Linked DNA regions of Arabidopsis thaliana. The protein of the gene in region 3 purifies or fractionates together with the protein of the main gene of each other region. This does not show direct contact. Each region holds a gene or a part of one and is shown on either strand. Other genes may lie near its edges.

Region 1 (3,755 bases), on a different chromosome or scaffold from region 3:
TTCAAAAAGAGTTTTTCAAGTTTTCCCAAATGTACGCCTTTTTTAAAAATGATATGAAATGGAGATGCATCAGGAATTACTGTATATAAGATATCAACAAAAATTTACAACAGAAAAATAAAAGTCATTTCAAACATGAAACCAAGCCCTCACTGTTTAAAACAAGCACCACAAGGCTAAAGTGTGTCAAAAGAACAGCAAACAGAAGCCTGCAATGGGTTTTAGATTGATCAGACCCGAAGGATCTATCTTCCTTGAAAGTATAAAGCCAAGTACTCGAGCTAAATGCAGAATCAAGCCTTGACCCGAATCACGAAAGAGCCTGTGAGGACATGACAAGGATAGTTACCGAACTGAAGCAACTTATAATGACAGGTAATAAGCAATATTTGAAATAATTTTCTATCTTTCTTCCCTCCAATGTGTGATTTTGAGAATATAGAAGAAAGTGAAAGAATATAAGAATTTCGAAAACAAGCAAAGCAAGCTGTGAACTCACATGTGGGAAGGCTTGATATATCTGCAGAGACAGCACAAGGTATCCCCAAGTTGGAGAGGACACCTCTAATGATTCCACACGGGAAATAGAGGTACATGCTCACCGCTTGTGCAGCTTTGCTTTCCCCTGGAGTAGAAGGATCTTGGGTTTCATTCTCAGATGAAGGGTCAATTGAGACACGAGACAACCACCGGAACTTGTTGTCTTGTAATACAAAAGTACCCTGAAGAGAAACATTCCATCTGTGAATAACACACACAAGAAGAGTTTTGGTCTTTGTTCAGGTAAAATCCCAGTTATCTTACCCGGTGATTTGTCTTTAAATTATCAATCTGCTTCTTGAAGACCTCAGACCAGAAGTCTTTGCAGATAAACTTGATTGCCTCTAGATGGTCACTGAACCTTGGTCTTTCCATAGTGTACCTAACGACATAAAAAAGGCTGAAGTTATGCACAATCAAGTAAAATGCTAAATATCTGCCATCATACAACACTGTAAAACAGTTTTTATGTAGGCAAACACCTTCAGAAGCAACAAAACATGCCTCAACAGACTAAAATCATTCTTCGTACACACACACTATAACTAATCAGGGACTAAGAGAATCATTCTTCTGAGACAACAAGAAAATTTCCTAACCAAAACATTGCACGATTAAATACAAAAATTAGCCACTAGAGCAATGAGAAAAAAACTCGAATCAGCGCCATATATCTTCCCATCTATCACATTCTCAGCCAATTACACACGAGAAACGATAAATCCAATATCAAAGAGAATCATTGCTAACGATATACATTCGCCATCATCTTCAGATCTACAACTAATACTAGCAACCTAGAGATACAATGATCAACCAGATCGAAAGAAGACGATGATCAAGTGTAAAACAAACCTCTCGGAGAGCTGGTGGCCGACCTGATAACCAATGGCCTCGATCCTCCGAGCGGCGAGTTCCGGCTTGTTAGCATAGAATCGGCCACTGTACATCGCCACCATCTCCATTAACATAGTGTCTACACAGCTCTCCGCCACTTCTCTCCCCATTTCTTCTCTCTCTCTCAGACTCTTTCCGTCTTCTCTCCACCGGTTTGGGGCTTATGCAACGAAGCTCCGATCTATTAACTTGTAGAGTATTTACATTTAAGTCCTTAATAGTTTTCTATTATTTCTGATCTGTGACTTCATTTTTTAAAGAGTCATGATAACCTTAATCTCTGACATTTAAACCGGATCGTCTTGGTTCAATTTTCCTTCAAATACCCGATTTATACAATTATTTCAAGTGAATGGAAATTACTTTTGGTGTGCTGAATGCTGATCATTTATGGTTAAAAATCAATTTTACTTGTATAATATGAGATATAAATATAAATAAATAAATCATGATTATTGAATAGGACTTTTTTAATATCTTTTTGGTGGGCAAAAGAGAGACAATTGTCTCCCACGTTTTCTAATTTAATTAAAAAGAATAACACATTATTGATTATTAAATAGCACTTCAAAAATTTACATTTCATAAGATTGATTTTGAAATTAGATCAGCTTGTAATAAGTCTTTCAAATTTAAGATACAGAATTGAAAAGAATAATATTTAAATTCTTTAAACATCACATGTCCAATAATTAACTCTTTAAACATCACATGTAAAATCAGTTAAAAATAAAAAGGATGAGAAAAATGATAGTTTTTTTTTTTTGTTTTAGAGTGGAAGTGGGAGAAGCGATGATAATTACCTATAATACCCTTTAACTTTTGTGTAATTACTCATGTTTGCGTCAAGTGTATGGATTTGGTCGCCAGAGAGAAGAAGAAATATACGATTCATACGAATTCTGTATCGCAAAAACATCAAATCTCGAAATTGAGCTCCTTTTCTGGAACTAGGGATTGCTTTCCGCTCCTTGCGCTAAGTCTACTTGGTTTCTGATTCGTACAATTTGATGAAATGCGAGTGCTCAGCGAGATTGCGGAGTCACCGTTCGTGATTTCTCGGCTAAGCCCTGATTCGACGGCCACCGGAGGGTTTATCGGCGGATGGGTCGGGAAGTGTCATGGGTTTCTTCATAACACGGTTTTGGTTTTAGCATCTATTCTATTCGTCGCTTACTTAGCGTACGAGGCGAAGAAGAGCTTGTCCAAGTTGTCTAATCGGAGATCTTACATTATGATTGCCTATTATGGTTTTCTTTGGCTTGTTAGCTTGCTCAATCTTGCTTGGTGTTGCCTTCAGGTTTGTTAAAGTTCTCTTCTTTACTTCGATTCATTTCACAAGTAACTCATACCTATGTTGCGTGTAAAGAGATCAGAACTTAGATTGAAGAAGAATGCTTTTTAGAGTGTTTTAGGCTCTGTAAATGTAGAAACTTTGCGATCTTATCAACATTGTTTTTATTCTACACTGGTGATTAGAAAGCTTTTGTATTTTGTGTAAGCTATTAGTGTTGATTTCTTGGTTAGATGCTGCTTAACAGGAAATGTTTTACCTGATTTAGTCTTACTCCAGATTTCGTTTTGAATTTACTTTTCATGAGTTTAGGCATGGGAATGCACTCCGGGGAAAGAAGTTATTTGGAATTTGTTAACTTTGTTCACAACATCTGGAATGTTGTTTCTGGAAGTAAGCTTGGTAGCCTTTCTCTTCCAAGGAAACTATGCAAGCGGTGCTGAAGCATTAACACGAACTTTCCTCATCTCGGGGCTTGTCATTGGTCTCGATTTGCTTCTCAAGGTAGATTTGTGTTCATAACTGTTAGATACACTTTCTGATATATAGATAGATATACTTCCTTGAGGTATATTGACATGATCTTAGTTCTGCATTAGATCATGTGTCCACTACAGTTGATATATGCAAACTTGTATTGTCTGGTTACTCAACTACAGTCAGTTTAATTTCTTCACGGTTTTCATTCTTCCTTTCAGGCAATTTATCTGTTTGGCTTTGGAGTACCATTGTTTATCGACAACAATGAACATATACATAAGTTCAAATGGGGCTTATGGGTCATCCACAAGCTCTTACTAGCTGGCATTTATGGGATGATATTCTTCATGTACAACTCCAAATGGAGAGAGAGATTACCAGGTGAATACATCGACCACTCATATCCTCCTTATGGTTGCATAAGCCAATAGCTGTTCACTGGCTTCTATTACTCATCCCATATGTTTTTATTTTCCGGTTTGACAGCAAGACCTGCATTCTACAAGTATATAACTGTCATGCTCGCCTTAAATGGGCTCTCCCT
Region 2 (3,755 bases), on a different chromosome or scaffold from region 3:
CATATTCACCCTTGCTAATACTGCTACGAATGATACTGGGTAAATTGAACAGTGTCCGGAATCTCTGAAGCATTCCTTGGACAGACCTGATTTTCTCAGCTTGAGCCTAAATGTGATTTTGAAAAAGGCTTCAGCAAAATGAAAGAGAGTGACAAGCAAAAGAAGTAAATCAGAATCACACCAACCTGTCTCTCAAAAAGTGGCTCAAATGCAAGATTGGCCCTCGATGTCACACTTTTCATACAATTAAACAAATGAGTAGTTCCTGAACCTTCGGGGTCTTCTTCAATCCGCTTCAGTTTTGACTCAATATCTATTAAGAAAATCAGTGGTCAACATGAAAATGAAAGAAGAAAAAAACATAAATTATTCAGTTGGAAGTAATAATACATACCATCAATTGTTGTTTTACATGAGACGAAGCAGTCAAAATTGTCCTTCACCAATTGTTTCCTTTGCAGATTCCGACCCTTTAAGTCACTTTTCAAGCCAAGGGCACCAGCCTCCAAATCTGCTGCAGTCGTGTCTTGGTGAATACGGGAAAGAAACAGCTTCGGATCGAAATGATCAGAGAAGTAAACCAATTTTTCTGCAAATACTCAGAAAAAGATACATAACAATTAGACAACTGGAAATTGTACATCGAATTAGCCCTCCAAAAAATTGTAAGTGCTACTGTTCACTCGAGTTGTAGATATGGTAAAGAAAGACATACCGCGAAGAGTATTATCCACTTTCTCAGCTTTTGATGGGCTGCCTGACGACTCAGTGATTAATCTCAATGTCTTATTGTCTATGATCCTATGAAGTAGACAAATTCAGGTTTAGATATGTTCTACCATATCAAAGACAGAGTACAAAGCATCTGACTGGCTTCCATGGTAAGCAAAACGAAACGAGAGCAATTACCCTAATTTTAGTGGATCAATACATTCCATTCCACGAGGAAGTGACTGCAAACTAGTCAGAGCCACTTTCTTCCCAGGTGCAGGTGCTTTACCTTCTACTTTCTGAACCACGGGTGCTGTTCTCGATTCCCTCATATCACGAACCCTACGAGCAAGCTGCCAAAATGCCACCGGAATTTCAGTGAAAATGGTCATCTTTCCACTTATACATCCATATGATGCTATGGTTCTAAAATCACTAATGGCATGCTAATTATCAAGCTCTCTATATCAACTCAACACCAGAAACTATGGATAGCATTCACCGTATCCCACGAATGGTATTGTTCAGTGTCGTACAATTCAACAAATAGATCAATATATCGAATTCAAACTCTTGAACTTGATCGAACAAGCAAAGCCATAAGCATTCACTGATGAATCTCGCCACAAATACATACCTCAGCTTCATTAACCCGTTTCCAACAATCAGGCTCTCCTCCATCCCAAGCACCATCATCTTCCTTCCTCGCTCTTCCCTTCTCTCGTACATCGCTACCTCTTCCTCTCCCCGCACCACCACTAGAACCACCTATTTCCCTTTCCCTCTCCAAATCATCATCCCCGCTCGAAATGCTAAGCAATTCCACCTCCGACTCCTCATCCTCATCCATGGAAGGCTTCCTAACCGCCGCAGCAGACTTCTTCGGCGGAGCGGCAGCCGCAGCCACAGGCTTCTGCTGTCGAGGCTGCTGCACTAAATTGGCAACAGGCTTACGAGCAGAAGATGAAGGAGGTTTCTGATAGGTGAGATCTCTCTTAGCCTGCTCTTTCAACGCCATTTGAAGAAGCTCATCTTCGTCAAGATCATTGCTATCGCTCGACATGTTTCGGCGATTCAGATGATCGATCTCAGTCTCCTCCGCCTTGAGCTATAGTTAGAGATCTGAGAAGCTTTAGTTTCGATTTTGAGATTTCAGTTTGTGATTTGTGTGACAATTTTAATTTGTTTTTTTTTTTCTTCCAGAAATATTGATTTTTAGATTAAAAGGTGTAAACGTGGAAAAATCAAAACATGGCGATGATAAGAAAATAATATTTTCCGGTGTGGTGGCTTTTTGACCGGATAATTTGGTATGAAGGACAGACACACAAGATGTCAGTAACTCGATTTTATCCTCAAAAATGACTCTTAGATTAATTTAGATTATTTGCAAAAAATTATTACGTTGCGACGTGATTTGTCCTTCTCTGAGATATACATTTTGAATACTGGAAGCAATGAGTAATTCACAGAAAAGTTGTTCCAGTATTGACTGTGAACGAAATGGAGCCTCTGTTGAAAATGTCAAGATTCAAGAAGCTAAATGTTAGATTGACAAGGAACTCTTCGAGACATAATTCATTTGAGGCTCCAATAGTAGTTGAAGAAAATGAATCAAGAGTGCATTAAGGATAAGCCATAAGGAATGATTGATGATTCACCTTATTTCCTCAGAAACCAAAGGTGCAGGATCTGTTATGATTATGAGAATGTTCTGGATTCTACACTGGAAAAACCAGTTGATAGTTTCTCAAATAATAAGCACTAAAGAGTTGAATTCTGAACTTATGGAAGGACAACGTGAAGAGAAAATTGAGCGAGACACAGTTTTAATATCTGCAGTTAAGGAGGACAAAGAGGAAGTATCATCACACTCTGTACTTTTTGTCAAGCGCTTATCACCTGCTTCAGTGCAAGTACCAGTGAGCAGCACTGAAGCTGAGCTAGTCGTGTCTACTGGCCGTTACCTTGTTAAGAATATCGTTTCAATATCTATTGCTGAGAAAACTACCAAAACTAAGAGAGAAACTCTTATTTGCACTCCTAGATCTGAGAGTGTAGCTCTATAGAAGGTATATACTTGTATTCATTTGATTTGAGTTACTTTTTCAGTTTTATGGCTAAACTAATTTTGTTCTAATCCGTGTTTCTTTCTGATTTTAATCACAGCAATCTTGGAAAACTCAGTTGAATGTTGGAAGGAGATTCACTCAAACAAAGATGATGATGTGAAAGGTTCCTTAGAGAAGGAAGTACAAGCAGCAACTTTACATGGAAACTTTTTTGAACACAACACTTAGAACAACAGTGCAGAAGAAAGAATGGAGATAACTAAAGTCGGTTGTGCGAGTGTTGGTCATTGTCTGAATCTAACACCAGAAAAACTTATGGATGAGTACACTCAGTTGGAGCTAGAAGAAGCAGTCGGCACTAAAGTCAAGAGGCTCTTCCGAATAAATGAAGACAGTGAATCAAGAATTCGTAAAAGAAAAGCCACAAGGAATGGCTGAGGAGGAGGACTTACTCATACATCTGAAACCAAAGCTACAAAACATGTTATGGTTTTTTACACTAAAAGTTTCAGGTCATATTTCACCGGTAAGTAACACTCATCAAGAGGTGGATTCTGAACCTTTGGAAGGATAACATGAAGAGAAACATGAGCAAGACACTATTATGATGGATGTGATTAAGGAAATATGTATGTTGCATGGTATTAGTCGTAGATGAGTCCTTTATTGGAATTGAAACATTTGTTCAGTCTTTTGGTCGAATTACTGCTAGTTGTAAAACAGAAGAGTAATATGTCTATACAAGTGTGTAAATAGTACTCTTTTGTGCCAAAAGATTTGACTTAGTTCCTCCTCTGTTATCTTAATAGATTTTACAACTTTTTGGGTTGAGTACTGAGGCTGACCTATAAAACTTAATAAAACTTTTGTTTCATCAAAAGGCTCTCTAATGAAAGTTCCATCTGAGTGAAAGACGAACGATCATTTCGCACAAACTACAAAGAGCTGAACAATCATTTACCACCAATCCAA
Region 3 (3,755 bases):
ATTACTGCTAAATGGGTTTAGTTTATGCATCTAGCAAAAATATGAGTGATTGCAATCGTGCAAACTGTTTAACCTAATCTATTTATGTTAGAACTATAGTAGGAGCAATCAAGTCTCATTAGGAATCTGGCATGGTATTTTTTCGGTTCGTGCCTGCTTGTATCAGAGCAAAAAAACATAAACACAGTCCAATCTGCATAGCTTACCTTTCTCTCTTTTTTGAACTGAAGTCAACTTCAAGCTTCGCATATACTTTCTTGACATTTTTAGTTGCTTGATCATTACTTGGATGAGCTTTAGATACAAATACAATAAACCATTCCCTCTCATCATTCTGAACAATTAATTTCAGACGTGGTTTGAGAATGTTTTTAAACTCATCAAGATCCTGCAAGGTCAAAGGTATACTCAGAAAAGCTAGAAGAACAAAAATTGTCGAACCACATAAGTGATAAATCTAACCTAATCCAGAAACCATATACATTAGAAACGGTACCTACTATCTAAACATAGGTTCTTATCTCTTATAGAAAAGGAAAACAGAAACGAATATCATCAAGCACATCATCTTTGTTTCATATTTTGGCACGTGACTACTCTCCACTGCCAAGATTGATACAGAAAAAAAAAACACATATCATCATATCAACAAGCAAGTACCTCACATGTGACAAGAACTATAGTTGCGTATGGTTCTCGAAACCAGAACAAATACTGCTCCTGCGGGAATCGACTACGAAGCCTCGCGTCTGTAGTTAATATGAATTCAACCGGCAAGTTCTCAACAAAAACCGGATTTCGAGTCTTGTTAGTCAAGAATGCTCTTTTTAATGGCTGATGTTCTTCAAATAAACCTTTCACTGTAGGCCACAGATCACACACATCTTCCACTGTAAAAGAATATGCAAGCAACCACTATTACAACGAGCAACGGGAACAATATAAAGAGAAGACATCTTAATACTAACGAACAAGTAGAGTTTAAGATCAGAAACAAAAGAAATCATCATGATCAGTTCCCTTCAGGAATGGATGCTCATTTCTAAGCACTTTTAGCTTCATTCATGAGTATAACCTGACCAACCAACAACCTAACAGATTCATATCATCTGATTTGATCCTTCACCTACATTGAGAAACTTTCCACTAATATATAGCTATGACATCGCAAAATGTGGCAGAAAAAAAAAAGGAGAAATAAGATCCTAATCGAATGCAGCAATCGTAGAGAAACAAAACCCCTAGAAATGTACACATTTGAAAAAAATTGGGGAGAAATTCACCGGCGGCGACGAGACGATCGCAGGAATTCTTAATCGTCTGGAACTGAGCCAAGTAGTTCGCCATCTGAGTCACCGATCTATACGAATCATACGAATAACTCGATCGAATTATACAAAGAGATCAGAATTTGAGTGAGGTTTCGTCTTCTAGCTGCCAGAAAAGGAAGTGGAGGAAATCACCGACGCCGGAGATCTAGTGAATCGTCTTCTTCAAAACTATGGCGCTCAGATTTGATCCTGACCGTTGGATCACTCCTTCTATTAACTACATCTATATTAGAATGCTTGTCGTCTTTGTATATAAATAACGGCATGCAGTCTAATGTTCTATTAAAAAAACAAAAACAACGCTTCTTTCTTCTCCGTTAAGAGAAACCTCCCTCACTCCCACTTTCCGACGAACAAAAACAACATCTGAAAAAAATCATGAATCCAGCAGATTCCGATCATCCACAGCTTCCAAACATCAAGATCCATCACCCTCCATCTCCACGTCACTCTCACCATCACCACTCCTCATCTACTCCCTCCTCCGCCGCAACTCCAACACCAACCGCCGGAGCTCGTCGTAAAATCGGAGTCGCAGTTGATCTCTCCGAAGAAAGCTCTTTCGCCGTTCGTTGGGCTGTAGATCACTACATCCGTCCCGGAGACGCCGTTGTTCTTCTCCACGTTTCTCCAACCTCCGTCCTCTTCGGTGCCGATTGGGGACCTCTCCCTCTGAAAACTCAAATTGAAGATCCAAACGCTCAACCTCAACCTAGTCAAGAGGATTTTGATGCTTTTACTTCAACAAAAGTTGCGGATCTAGCTAAACCGTTGAAGGAGTTAGGGTTTCCTTATAAGATCCATATAGTGAAAGATCATGATATGAGAGAGAGATTATGTCTTGAGATTGAGAGGCTTGGTCTTAGTGCTGTGATTATGGGAAGTAGAGGTTTTGGTGCTGAGAAAAAAAGAGGAAGTGATGGCAAGCTTGGCTCTGTTAGTGATTACTGTGTTCATCACTGTGTTTGTCCTGTTGTTGTGGTTAGATATCCTGATGATCGTGATGGACCTGTGCCTATTGTTACTGTCAAGTCTGGTGGAGATGATGATGGAGATGTTGTTGCTGCTTCTGCTTCTGCTCATCATGAACACATCAAAGGTCAGGGATCAATTATCTCTATCTCTATGTGATTCAGTGATTGATTAGATAAGCTGCTTTCGTTGTTATTTTTTTCATGGATGTTTCTGTTGATGTGTCAGATTTAGATTCAGTAGTGTAGTGAGTGTTGTGAATTTTGTGATCACGTGAATATGTTGTGAAAAAGATTGCCATAGATGGTAGCACAGGAAAATGAGATCCTTTTATAGCTGAACTAAGATGATTTTGTCGATTTAGTGAGAAATGCTGTCCATGTTCATTGCCTTGCTTACCCGAAAATTGAGGATGATGGTCATGTACATAGATGATTTCCTAGCTTTAGTGTATTCGTTCTATGAATTTGTATATATCTTCTTCATCTGCCGAAACTGTTTCTATTTACTGAAGTTAGTTGTATAGTATATATCATAATTTTTGGTGGTTATGGCTAATTTGCTGTAATATATGTTAGAAGATTATTGTTCCCCTACACATGGGACAAAGAAGCGCCGACATCGTTCTATTTCTTGCATTGTTTACACTACCCATTGATTGCGTTTAGACTTTAGATTAAAAGTACTCTAGTCCAGAGGAAAGTTTCTTTTGACCCTTGAAGATAAACTTTTCTAAGTGAGTTTGTTTGATTTATTTTTCCTCTGTTCGGTTTAGTTTGAGGCAACATTAAGTATCATTAGCATCCAAGTATTATGATTCTTGACTTGGGAAAAGGCAGATAAGAAATTATGTCTTCTATAACCCCTCATTTCGTAAGTTGGTGACTGTATACTTGTTGTTGTATGAAACATTGAAAATCAAATAGTGCAGTAGTTCTAAAAAGGAAGCTTCAATTATACTTTTTGTTGTTGTTTGCTTTGGTCCAGACTAGGAAAGGTTACAATGTTAACAGAGGAAAATTTAGGAAAGAATGGGAATATGTAGGAAGAATCTGGTTAACATGCCAAAATTTTTTTTATCTATACTCTTGGGTAATGTTTAGATATCAAATCTAACTGAGATGTAGGCACTACCTTCTTACTTTTATGACAAGTTCAGATGAAAACTTGTCAAATAAAGTTACTGAGTTTCGTAGATTGCTTCTTCTGTAAGATAGTCACTGGTGTTAGTTCTGGAGCATTTGGTATACGTTACAAGATCGGAGCTACCTAGTGAATTTGTAAAAAGATCTGAATGTACACTGATAAGGTAAAAAGGCTATTATCTATAGGTTACATTTGTTATCTCCACCATACTGCATCACGACTAGCAATGTATAATCTGCATGATATTTTAAGTGATCCCTCTCTGTGTATCTTCGAACAGTGAAATGTGTGTTGTGAATAAAGTGT

Evidence for each region.
Region 1: the proteins of CLUB (region 3) and AT3G05000 purify together in Arabidopsis thaliana (affinity purification with mass spectrometry, with the first as the bait; one study listed by BioGRID). This does not show direct contact.
Region 2: the proteins of CLUB (region 3) and SEC5A purify together in Arabidopsis thaliana (affinity purification with mass spectrometry, with the first as the bait; one study listed by BioGRID). This does not show direct contact.

What each region holds. Positions count from the first base shown.
Region 1 is NC_003074.8:1,387,151-1,390,905, forward strand, and holds AT3G05000 (Transport protein particle (TRAPP) component), read right to left. Parts: upstream 1,682-3,755; 5' UTR 1,548-1,681; coding exon 1,396-1,547; intron 923-1,395; coding exon 805-922; intron 723-804; coding exon 500-722; intron 323-499; coding exon 294-322; 3' UTR 25-293; downstream 1-24. Other genes in the region: Cand2 (Protein of unknown function, transmembrane-40), read left to right, coding at 2,453-2,737, 3,044-3,235, 3,430-3,592, 3,698-3,755.
Region 2 is NC_003070.9:28,846,032-28,849,786, reverse strand, and holds the start of SEC5A (exocyst complex component sec5), read right to left. Parts: upstream 1,917-3,755; 5' UTR 1,775-1,916; coding exon 1,349-1,774; exon of another isoform or gene 1,065-1,348; coding exon 910-1,064; intron 802-909; coding exon 716-801; intron 590-715; coding exon 395-589; intron 314-394; coding exon 186-313; intron 107-185; coding exon 1-106. Other genes in the region: AT1G76840 (uncharacterized protein), read left to right, coding at 2,499-2,766, 2,881-2,946, 3,025-3,221. UniProt on the Arabidopsis thaliana protein: Component of the exocyst complex involved in the docking of exocytic vesicles with fusion sites on the plasma membrane during regulated or polarized secretion. Involved in polarized cell growth and organ morphogenesis.
Region 3 is NC_003076.8:22,097,648-22,101,402, reverse strand, and holds the start of CLUB (CLUB), read right to left. Parts: upstream 1,640-3,755; 5' UTR 1,348-1,639; coding exon 1,284-1,347; intron 891-1,283; coding exon 661-890; intron 389-660; coding exon 207-388; intron 1-206. Other genes in the region: PHOS32 (Adenine nucleotide alpha hydrolases-like superfamily protein), read left to right, coding at 1,710-2,430, 3,521-3,576. UniProt on the Arabidopsis thaliana protein: Specific subunit of the TRAPP II complex, a highly conserved vesicle tethering complex that is required for the proper transport of proteins in post-Golgi trafficking pathways to the growing cell plate in mitotic active cells.